3 linked regions of the Cricetulus griseus genome follow. The protein of the gene in region 1 interacts with the protein of each later gene in a biochemical or structural test. Links are inferred from orthologs where the notes say so. Each region holds a gene or a part of one and is shown in the gene's direction. Other genes may lie near its edges. The genes, in order: Bnip2, Arhgap1 and Cdc42.

What was found.
Region 2: the proteins of Bnip2 (region 1) and Arhgap1 form a complex in vitro, tested with the Homo sapiens proteins (2 studies listed by BioGRID). The link is inferred for Cricetulus griseus from reciprocal best matches to the Homo sapiens genes BNIP2 and ARHGAP1.
Region 3: the proteins of Bnip2 (region 1) and Cdc42 form a complex in vitro, tested with the Homo sapiens proteins (2 studies listed by BioGRID, with this or other methods). The link is inferred for Cricetulus griseus from reciprocal best matches to the Homo sapiens genes BNIP2 and CDC42.

Annotation. Positions count from the first base shown.
Region 1 is NC_048597.1:181,527,728-181,531,375, forward strand, and holds part of Bnip2 (BCL2/adenovirus E1B 19 kDa protein-interacting protein 2), read left to right. Parts: intron 1-2,793; 5' UTR 2,794-2,850; coding exon 2,851-2,900; intron 2,901-3,473; coding exon 3,474-3,541; intron 3,542-3,648.
Region 2 is NC_048599.1:85,113,592-85,117,718, reverse strand, and holds the start of Arhgap1 (rho GTPase-activating protein 1), read left to right. Parts: upstream 1-1,278; 5' UTR 1,279-1,412; intron 1,413-4,127. Other genes in the region: Znf408 (zinc finger protein 408), read right to left, coding at 250-527, 814-859. UniProt on the Homo sapiens protein: GTPase activator for the Rho, Rac and Cdc42 proteins, converting them to the putatively inactive GDP-bound state. Cdc42 seems to be the preferred substrate.
Region 3 is NC_048595.1:15,978,078-15,981,725, forward strand, and holds part of Cdc42 (cell division control protein 42 homolog), read left to right. Parts: intron 1-443; 5' UTR 444-493; coding exon 494-598; intron 599-3,465; coding exon 3,466-3,538; intron 3,539-3,648. UniProt on the Homo sapiens protein: Plasma membrane-associated small GTPase which cycles between an active GTP-bound and an inactive GDP-bound state. In active state binds to a variety of effector proteins to regulate cellular responses. Involved in epithelial cell polarization processes.

The DNA of each region.
Region 1 (3,648 bases):
ATTATTTCTGTGAAAGTACGTTATTTTGACAAATAATGTATCGAAGCGCTATTTCCCTATTGTAACATTTTAAAGTTCTAAAGGCAAAACTGGGAAATTGCAACAAGCTGGTGAGTCAGAGGCATCCGGATTCCCTCCAGAGCAGTTGTACTTATTTCAGCTCCTTTCTTGTTATTTCCTGTTCCTACAGCTGCCTGGTGATAAAGTGCTTCCAAGAACAGAGCTCGATTGTTGACTTTGTTTTTAATCTACCTAGTGTGCTGCCCCCAAAGTTCTTGATGAAATGGGGGAGTGAACCTCTATTTCTCTCTGTCCCCTTTGTTTAACTAGCCTAGATAACTGTCCCCATAACTAAAAACCCATGCCAATGTATAGAGATGTATGAACATCACATGATGGAGGACATTAGAGTAACAATTGAGGAGGTGAGCTACAAGGGCTGAAGGACCTGGGCTTTCTGTGTTGTTTGTGGTGCTGAGAATTGAATTCAGGGCCCCATTACTGAGCAAGTAGTGTCTGAGCTACAGCCCCAGCCCTACCTTTCTAGTTTATTTGGACACAGGGTCTAACTCAGAGGTTCGAGGTGGCCTTGAACATGCAGTCTTCCTGCCTCAGCCTCTGAGATAGCCAGGGGGTTACAAGCCTGTGTGTATGTAAAAGAGCTCCTTTGTTGTTGTTTCTATTTAAGGCAGGGTCTTGCTATATAGCCCAGGCTAGTCTCCCATTCAACCTTAATCCTCTTGTAGGCCCCAGAGCACTGGGATTGCTAACCTCAGCCTCCATAACAATTTTGAACGAATTATTTCTCAAGTAATGAAGGCAGTTAAGAGGCATTTCACAGACAAAATATTTCTTTCAGCAAATAAAGAATAATTTCACCAACAGTGACTTATATTGCATGTATTTATGTTCTTGTAGTATTTTTCATGACATTTTTAAGGGGGAACTCATAACAGGAATCCTATTTATATAGTTCAGAAAGCAATATAAGCTTAAGAACTTGCCCAATAATGGTGTGCCTTCACTGTTAAATCTAAAATGTGCTGAGCATTGTACTAAGACTAAGGATATGTCCATTGCAATTGTCAGTCTCTGCTGTTATTTCTGAGACTTTTTTTCTTGTTATTTAAGAAAGACATACAGAATACTCTGATCCTCCCCCTCCCCATACCCAGTAGAAAGGTAGGACAAGACCATGGGAACTATTCTGGTTCTTTACCCACTGAGTAGTTCAGTGACAGAAAGTTAGCATATTACCCCCCCATGCTAATAAATAGATTTATAAAAATGTACGTCCTTTGAGACCTTCCCAAGTATAAGTACTCAAACTGGGAGATAGAGACCTCTAGTTATTAGAGGAATGGTTTAATTTGCTATATGAAACTTAACACTTCAGAGAATTTAATGTCCCTTGTAGTTTGTTTTTAGAATATCATTTGATATGCATGTTAATGGTTCTCATCATTTATTTTATTTAGGAAGGTGGGTTTTGTTTGTTTGTTTGTTTGGTTTGGTTTGGGTTTTGTTTTTCAAAATAGGGTTTCTCTGTCCTGGAACTTGCTTTGTAGACCATGCTGACCTTGAACTCTTAGAGATTCACCTGCCTCTGCCTCCTAAATGCTGGAATTAAAGGTGTGAGCTACCATGCTCTGCAGTTTTTTTAAAATCAAGTAGTATGGAAGTGTGTGGGTGTGCTATATAGGCGTACCACCCTTTCTTCTCTGTGTCAACCACTTGGAACTACTACTACTTCGTTGTTATTACTGTGTGACTCTTAAAAATGTGAAGCTAGGCATCATGGCCCATGCCTGTAGTTCCAGAACTCGGGAGGTTGGAATAGCAAGATCACAAGTTTGAAGACAGCCTAGACTAAAGGGCAAGAAGATAGAAACAGAAGTGTGGTTTAGTGCAGCCTGCAGTAACTTGTTCCATTGATTGTTGTAATGTAAATGAGTTGAATCTCAATGATACTTCTTGCTTCAGTATTTGTCAGCTGTTTCTGTTGTACTTTTTACCAGCTGATCATCATGACCTCTTTTTAAGATTTGTTTTTTATTTTATGTGTGAGTGTTTTGTCTGCATATCTGTGCACCGTGTGCATGCAGCACTATCAAAGGTCAGAAGTGGTTGTGTGATGCCCCTGAAACTGGGGTCTCAAGTAGTTGTGAGCCATCTTGTGGGTGCTGGGAACTGGCCACTGAATCATCTCTCCAACTCTTCTTCATGACTTACACTGTATTTCAAATGCTGTATTCTGTCAGACAGAAGGTGAGTCAGTGTGCCATCTTACTGAGAATTCTTATAGTTTCCTACAAAAATAAAATTAAACTTTGGGGCTTAAGTTGAAAAGTATAGTTGTAAATATGAAAGCATCACTAATTTGAGTGCTGAGCTCTGTGAGAGAGGCATGATACAAATGGGAAACACATTAGAAATTAGTGCATTGCTGGACAAGCTCCTGGGTAGCCTCTAAGTGATTCAGGAATGGAGAGGAGGAGCTGTAAACACCGCATAGCACTGGGACCTGGTGAGCATTCGTGTGCTTGTAAGTTACTAATGTGGTTTCTAGAATCACCCTTATGTCCAGAACTAAGATGTAAGGCTTAGTTATGATTCTGTGGAGAGAAAATATTTATTTATGTGAGATAAATAATAATAAGGGTCAAGTTTCACTGAACTAATACCTCTGCAGCTGCTGGAGTGGGGAATGGGAGCTTGGGTGGGGTTGTTGCCCCTTTGCTGCAGATGAAGAGTAAACTGGAAATGGAGCTCTTGTCCATCTTTCCCTCCCAGGACCTCGGCTGCCTGGACTGCCAGGAACTGGAAGTTGACATTGAATCCAGGCTGAGGATGGAAGGTGTGGAGCTCAAAGAAGAATGGCAGGATGAAGATTTTCCAATGTGAGCAGTACTTTTTGTTAAAATGGATTTGGAACAAAGCTTAAGAATTACTTCATTGAACTGTCAGCTCATATATGTTGAGCTTCTTTAAAAAGGTTACAAGTGATTGCTGGATTCTAGAAAGTGAAAGTTAATTTTCCAACTGTGTGACTGGTGATCTTTCATATCTTCAACTAAAGATTTTTAGCAGACTGCTTTAAGCTGAGGTCTTGGGCTTACAGAGGGATGGGATATCAGGTGTCTACAAGAGTGAATGGAGTGCCAGGCATAGTGGTGTCCACTTATAACCCCAGCCCCGGGGAGATGGAGACCAGATCCCCAGAGTACACTGGCCAGCCAGCCTGGGCTATTTGATCCATCCCAGACCAGTGAGAGATGCTGTCTCAAACAGTGGACAGCACCTGAGGAACATCTGAGATTATCTTCTGACATCATACACAGGAATACAAACGGATTTGTAGGGCTTAAACACAGCTTTAGTCCTTATAACTAAGTGATATTTTTAATGGATCTTTGAGCTTCAAAAGAATTGTTTTTAATTTCTGGGTTAAAGAATGTGTCTTTGTCGTCTAGACCTTTACCAGAAGATGACAGTATTGAAGCAGATATACTAGATGTAACTGGTCCAGACAGCCAACCTGGTAAGAACTGAAAACTTTCAGTGAAGTTTGTGTTACTTTTGAACACATTTCTTTGTAGAGAGGAAAGCAAAACAAAACCCATTGAACTTTCATTCTGATAGAGGAAG
Region 2 (4,127 bases), on another chromosome or scaffold:
CTAGTTGATGAGGCTCAAATCTGATCCTGGTAACCTTAGCTTCTGAACCTTAGGAATTAGGTTCATAACTTTTTGCATCTGCATTCCTTAGTTACTGCAGCTTAGGTAAGGAAACACAGTCCTGTAGTAAAGGGACAAAAACGACTTCCCAGCGCTTTAAATACCCTGCTTCTAACCAACTCAGAGCTGCCAGGAAATACCTGAACCTCCCGCAAACTTTAGGACAGGAGATGTCCTATTCTTCAATACCTGCTCGCGTGGTGGCTTCACTCCCTCGCCCTTCTCCTCCGAGAAGGAGTCCACTTCCAGAGGTCCCCAATGCAGTCCGAGCTGCAGGGGCTCTCCGACACACCAGACCCCCAAGTGCTGTTTCCTGGCGCTCGAGGGGCCCAGGGCCAAGCCCTGGGGGAGGGTCTTTAGAGCAAGTATGACAGGGCTCGAACCAGGCGGGAAGTCTTTGAGGCCCTGAGCAAAGCCTCCTCCAGAAAGGCTCCATCCTGATTCCTGGCCCAGGATCGGCTTGGGGGCTGCAGGGAGACGGGAAGGCAGTGAAGGAGCGGCCCACGAGGGCGTGGGGTTGGGGAAAGTGCAAGGTCAGCTATGCCTCAGGGGTTTGAGGGATAAGCAAGGCTCTACCTCAGCCCCTGAAAACTTGGAAGGGGGTCTAGGCTCTTAAACCCCAGAGCATTGGAAGGCACCGGGGCAGGATCCCAGGCTAGAGAGAAAAAGGGATGTAGGGAGGAGGCGTTGACTAGAAAACGCTGGGGCCATCTAGTGCCGGGCTGAGGGTCGCAGACATCGCAGGTCACTCACGGAGCGGCAGTGTCTTCCCCAAGAGCACCTCCTCCGCCTCCTTCATACTGGATCAGAGAGCTCTCGCCACTACCCCTCCGCCGGAAGTGAGCGTTTTTGTCCCGGTTCCTCGCGGAAACAGTCCTTGACTTCCAAATTTAAGCTCAAGAAAGAATTCAGAACCAAAAAAAAAAAAAAAAGAGGAAAGAAGAAAGAATCTCAATGGTTAGGCATCATTGGACCACAGGACTGGGAGTTTAGAAATACTGGACAGACAAAAGTCTGAGAACGAAAGGATTCCCGAGGCACGCTACTTTCCAGTATCTGGAAGAACGGAACCAATCTGCCCAACCCACCCTCCTTTGGGGAGCGACCAGCCGGACAGTTGTTATACTGTGTAACCTCTTAGGCGTGCATTTCGGCAGGTGATTGCCGGAAGTGGGCGGGGTTCCAGGAAAGCCATGTTTGGACCGGGCAGCAAGGCCGGAAGTAGGAGGAAGATGTGGCGGAAGTGGCTGGGGAGCTCAGGGCCCCCCGAGGGGGCGGTTCCCGTTCCTTCTCGTAGCCGGATGTTTGCTGAGCTTTGACAGGCGTGGCAGAGGGAGCATTGCCTGAGCGCGGTGAGCTGCAGAGCGCGGGGTCTCGCTGGGCTGGTGGGGGAAGGGAACGAGCTGCTCTGGTCATCTGAAGGGTTTCGGTCCTAAAGGGGAGAATCGGAGGCAGTGGCGCGGGCGGTGGAACTGGGCCCGAGGGCCTTGATCTCTCTGCTACTGGGATTTTGCCCCACTTCGGTGTCTGCAATGAGAAGACAGCCACTTTCTCTGACTTCTTCCTGCCCTCTCTCAGGCATAGGCCATTACAGAACAAACCCGCGGGAGGGAGAAGTCTCCCTGACAGGATCTGGAAAAGCACCGAGAGCGAGAAATTAGGAGGAAGTGATAGACTTTGCCACTTGATAAGTCATGCTTTCTTCTCATTTTCTTGTGAAATGAAATACACTCAATCTGTTGTTTGTTTTTTTTGACTGTGCAAACGTGATTATAGTTTAGAGTTGCTGTCATGTAGGAGTTTTGTTTTTCCGGAGTCACAAAACAGTCCGATTCTAACGCCAGCAAGTACTATGACTTCAGGTTGCTAGCTCTGTTCTGCCTTGACATGAAAAGTTCTGAATGCCCCTTTGTGGCGCCTCTTTGAACCCTGTGAACTTTGTGACTGATAGTCACATGAGAGTTGTTGAGGGGTTGACTTTCACCAAGAGACCACCTCAAACTGGTACTTGTGGATTAAAATCTTGCGTCTGGGTTCTATGACCTTTAGCAATTTGCTCACCCTTCCCCCCATTTTGTTCAAATTGTAAATGGCTTTGATAGCATATGCTGAACAAGTAATGCAGTTGTGAGGTGAATTTGTGGTCAGCTTGAAGCACTATATTGGCTTTCCACAAATGTTGGTTTCCTTCTCTACTTAGGAAAATCATTCATTCAACTAATGACAGAGTGTCTCCTATGTGCTGGGCATTGTTCTGAATAGATGGCTTTGTTTTTCTATGCTGCATAGAGGAGCTAGGGCCCAGTGTGTGCAGGCAAAGTGCTCTACTACTGAGCTATGATTTAGCCTTTGAAATAGGTTCTTAAGCAGTAATTCTAAGAGGGCTTGTGAAGCCTTTAAAATTGCAATCAAGATTTCATGGATCTGTTCATTTTTCCTAGAGAAAAGTCCACAGATGTCAGAATTTCAGAGATATTTGACTGTTTTGTAAAAGTCAAAGGCTTTGCCTAAAGTGATTTCAAACACTTTTTGAAGGTCAAGGTTTATCTGCTCGGAAAGGAATATTAATCTGAGAGAGAGAGAAGTGTTTTTGCAGAGTGGAGTAGGACTCACAGGTGACTGGTATACTTTATTTCTATCATTTTGTGTTAGAATTTCCCTTCCTAGGCTTCCCTCGTCTCCCAATGGACAGCAGATAAACGTCCCAGCTCAGAGAAGGCAATAGATGGGAGTGAGAGAGGCCAGGGAGCTGGGCACTACTGGGATTAGTTTTGTTGGTAAAGGAGGTTGTGTGGGAGTTGAAGGAGGTCAGGTCTAGAATGTACAGAATCGAGGTTCTTGGGAAAGAGCTGGGAGTCAGTTCTGCTCTCTTCTTGATAGTTTCCCTCTCCCTCCCTCACAGAGCTCAGTTCCAGCTGCTACTTTTAACTCTGTTCTCTCCCATTTGAGTGCTGCTGAACACTGCAGAATTGTATTTCTGGGAGGAGCCTTTGCTTCTGTAGATAAGGAAATTTAAGGTCCAGACAGGAAAGGCGCTTGCCTGGGATCTTTACAGTCCTTGGCTTAGACAGGACTCTAAGACAGTTTTTCATATATTTGACTTCATGCTGTTTCTGTCATACCAGGTACTTACTGTGTACTAAAAGATTTCTCTTGGATAGCTGTGAGATGGGGGTGTCAAGGAGTTCCTGTAACTGGGCCGTGATAGAAATGGAGAGAAGGCTCAGCCAGGAAGGTGTTTTGATCTGGAATCTATCCTTTAATCAGTCAGTGTTTTTCAACCTTCCAAATGCTGCAACCCTTCAATGCAGTTCCTCATGTTGTGGTGACCCCCCCACCATAAAATTATTTTCATTGATACTTCATAACTATAATTTTGCTACTGTTATGAATTATAAATATCTGTGTTTTCCAATGGTCTTACATAGTCCCTGCGAAAGGGTTGTTTGGCCCCCAAAGAGGTTTCTACCTATAGATTGAGAACCACTAAGCTAGAGGATCCTGTGAGAAGCAGCCCTATAGACTCCTGGTTGAATTGGGTTGAGAAGGCGGGTTGGAGGCAAATTCCTCAAGATGGAAGATTGCTTGGTTTGAGGACTGAGGGTTGACGTGGGAGTAAAGATCTGGGCTTTGGGCAGAGGCAGATTTACTCACTAAGAGAAATGCATTCCCAAATGTGAGAGGTTTGCCCTTTGTGTTCTTAGGGAGGAATCTATATATTGGTGTCCAGCTGGATTTGTGGATAAGGCCAAGGGACAGGGGAGAGAAAGAACAAGGAAGAAGCTTTTGTCTTTGGCTTTGAAAGTGTGAAACAGTTTTCCTCCTGACTCAGTATGTTGTCATGGTAACAAGGCAGTTGTTGCTTAGGCTCTGAGAGCTAGTTTAGAGCCCTAGGCTGTAATGTGTGCAGGGAGGGGAGGTTGTCACGATTCTCCTAGCCCACAGTGTGGATCTCATGTGGCAACCCTTCTCTTCCGTCCTATCCCCAGGCCCTTTCTGCTCCTCTTATCTGCCCTGCTAATTCTCTGACCATATATGTCATTTTTTTCTGGCATCAGGAATGCAGC
Region 3 (3,648 bases), on another chromosome or scaffold:
GTAATTCAAAAAAGAAATATACTGATCACTGTTGTACTTTGGACTTTAAAAAATGATACTTAAGCCGGGCATTGGTGGCGCACGCCTTTAATCCCAGCACTCGGGAGGCAGAGGCAGGTGGATCTCTGTGAGTTCTTGGCCAGCCTGGTCTCCAGAGCGAGTGCCAGGATAGGCTCCAAAGCTACACAGAGAAACCCTGTCTCAAAACCAAAAAAAAAAAAAAAAAAGATACTTAAGACAAAACAACCAGGTCCAGAAACTTAGCAAATAGACCCTTGTAACTGCTGCTCTGAGCAAGTTGCCATTTTTCTTTTTAGAGGTTTTAAGCCATGTCAGTAATGCTGGTACTTTTCTTTGAGTAGCTGAACTTGTTACTAGTTGAGGGGAAAAATATGTATATAAATAGGAATCAATAGAATAATTGTCTTTAATTTTTTTTGTAGGTCACCATCTAATTTGAAATATTAAAAGTGGATACAAAACTATTTCCACAATGCAGACAATTAAGTGTGTTGTTGTTGGTGATGGTGCTGTTGGTAAAACATGTCTCCTGATATCCTATACAACAAACAAATTTCCATCGGAATATGTACCAACTGTAAGTATAAAGTCTTTCTGACAGCGAAAAGGATTGTTTGTCCATTGGAAAAAGTTTGCCTGCCTGCACTGAAATATTTTTCTGTCTATCTTTGATCTTTTTAAAAAAGAAATTAAATTTCATTGTTTATTTACTTTGTAGGGTATATGTATGTATATACTGTATGTATGTATATACAAACCTGCCTTGGTACATGTATGGAGGGCTGAGGACAACTTGAAGGAGTCTAGTTTGATCATGTGTGCTCTGTAATTGAACTCAGGTTGTCATGTTTTGCAAGTGCCCTCACCATCTCAATCATCATATCAGCCCATTGTTTGCTATTTTTAAAGGTTTTTGACTTCTCATGGGTAATTAACACTTTAAAATTAAACAGTTGAGGGTAGCGAGATGGCTCCACAGTTAAAGAGTACTGGCTGCTTTTCCAGAGGATTCAGATTCAACTCCCGGCCACCGCACCTGGCGTGACTTGTGTCTTTTGGAATTGATGAAATAGAGTCCAAAATCTTAGATTAACCTTCAGAAACATTGATGTTAGCTTCTGTGGTGTCACAGCTGGTGGAGGGGTTAGGCTAAAGCTACATGAGGAAAGAAGATGAAGTTTCTTTGAGAAGTGAGAATTTAAAGATGTAATTTCATAGCTGGGTGGTGGTGGCACACACGTTTTAATTCCAGCACATGGGAGGCAGAGGCAGGTAGATCTCTGTGAGTTCAAGACCAGCTTGGTCTACAGAGCGAGTTCCAGGAAAGCTAGGGCCACACAAAGAACCCTGTCTCCAAAAAAAAAAAAAAAAAGTTGATAATAAAACTACATTTTTGAGTTGGCCCATTAATCAGAAGATGTTTTGAAGTATGGTGTGGATTGTGTCTTAAGGTGAGATAGCCACTTGGGAAATTTGTGTCTGAATTTTTACTTATAAACATGATTTCCAAGTCTTTCATGATTTTGTTTGATGTGAACTTCCTGGGTGTTTTTTATGTATGTGCATTGTCGGGGAAAGAAGGGCAGTGAGGTAAATTTTTAAATGGGCCTATTTAGGTAAATAGGTCAAAGTAAGTTATATATCTATGGTATCTACATTGGCATGAAAACGGGTTTAGTATATAGTGCATATTTATGCCTATCCGTGGACTGATTTAACCATTTAGAGACTAGAGTTTAGAGCTGAAGATTTTTGGTTGTTGTTGTTGTTGTTGTTTTGTTTTTTTTGAGACAGGGTTTCTCTGTGGCTTTGGAGGCTATCCTGGAACTAGCTCTTGTAGACCAGGCTGGTCTCGAACTCACAGAGATGCGCCTCCCTCTGCTTCCCAAGTGCTGGGATTAAAGGCGTGCACCACTACCGCCCTGCTAGAGCTGAAGAATTTTATCGATCACCTTATCTTCCATGGAGAAAATTCATGCCCAACTGGTAGATGAGACTTGGAAATCAAGCTTTTTTCCTGACTCCCCCCTCCCCCCCCCCCTTTTTTGAGACTAAGTTTCAATTGTGTAGCCCTGGCTCTCCTGGAACTTGCTGTGTAGACCAGGCTGGCCTTAAACTCACAGAGGTCTGCTTATTGCCTCTATCCAGTGCTTCCTAATTTTGATTTTTTTTTCCCCCTGAGGTAAGGTTTCACTATCTTGTTGATGTTGGTTTCCAGAAATCAAGTGATCCTGCTGCCTTTACCTCCCAAGTGTTATAGCATCTGTATAGATAATACCCAACACAACCTGACACATTCCTGGCTTTTTTTTTCTTTAATTACTTAATTTTTAGTTATGTGGATCATGTCCACATGCTTGCAGCTGCCCACAGAGGCTAGCGGTGTTTGATTCCTCTAGAGCTGGAGTTATAGGTGGCTGTGAGTCTCATATAGGTGCTAGGAACTGAATTCAGTTTTCTGAAAGAACAGTATGAACTTTTAACCACTATGTCATCTCTCCAGCCCAGTTTCAGTTCTGAATTAAAAGGAACTGTTTGTGAATGAATAGTTTCTTAGAAATCAGATTGAACATTGTTGAAGCAAAGCCCTGTCTTTAAATTCGTTAGACTTGAAGGGGACTATTTGAAATTTTTATTTCTTATTTTTGAGACAGCCTTATATAGCCCAGAGTGGCCTCAGACTCACTAAGTAGGTCAGAGTGACCTTGGTTGGTTTTTCTTCCTTCCTCTACCTCCTAAGTGTTGGGATTATGGGGTGTTCCACCATACCCAGTTTGTCCTTCCTTCCTTCCTTCCTTCCTTCCTTCCTTCCTTCCTTCCTTCCTTCCTTCCTTCCTTCCTTTCTTCCTTCTCTTCCTCGCTCATTCAAGATTTATTTTTTTCATTTATGAGTGCTCTATCTGTGTATATGCCTTTATGATAGAAGAGGGCATCAGAGCACTGTAGAGGTGGTTGTGAGCCACCATGTGGGTGCTGGGAATTGAACTCTGAACCTCTGGAAGAGCAGCCAGTGATCTTACCTGCTGAGCCATCTTTCCAACCCCTCCTTTTTCTTTGTCTAAGCTGGTTTATTTTCATTTAGCAAAGTGTTTTATTCAAAAGCTTCTCAATACCACTAGTTGTCAGAATGAATATCACCTTTCCTTTATTATCCAACCCAATTGAAGATGGATGGAAGGTTGGTCCTCTGTAGTCAGAGACCTAGTTTCTGTGATACCACTTAAGATTTTTGTGTTCCTCAAGTAGTAGGACATCCCAGGACACAGTCTCTCATTTTTTCCCAAGAACCACTCAGCTAATGCAAGGACATAGTTGGTGAGATGGATTACATAAAAAGATACGAACTAAGGGAAGATGAATTTCCTTCTTGGGAAGGAAATAAGTGGTTGGGAATTGTACTATCTTACTCAGTAATAATATTATATTTCTTTGTTTTGTTTTTAGGTTTTCGACAACTATGCAGTCACAGTTATGATTGGTGGAGAGCCATATACTCTTGGACTTTTTGATACTGCAGGTGAAAACTTAAATGTCTCATAATGTTTTGATCTGTTAACTGTAACAGTTGCTACTGTGTGTCTTGTTTTGGACACCATTAAATTAGTATATTAGTAATTCACTTATTAT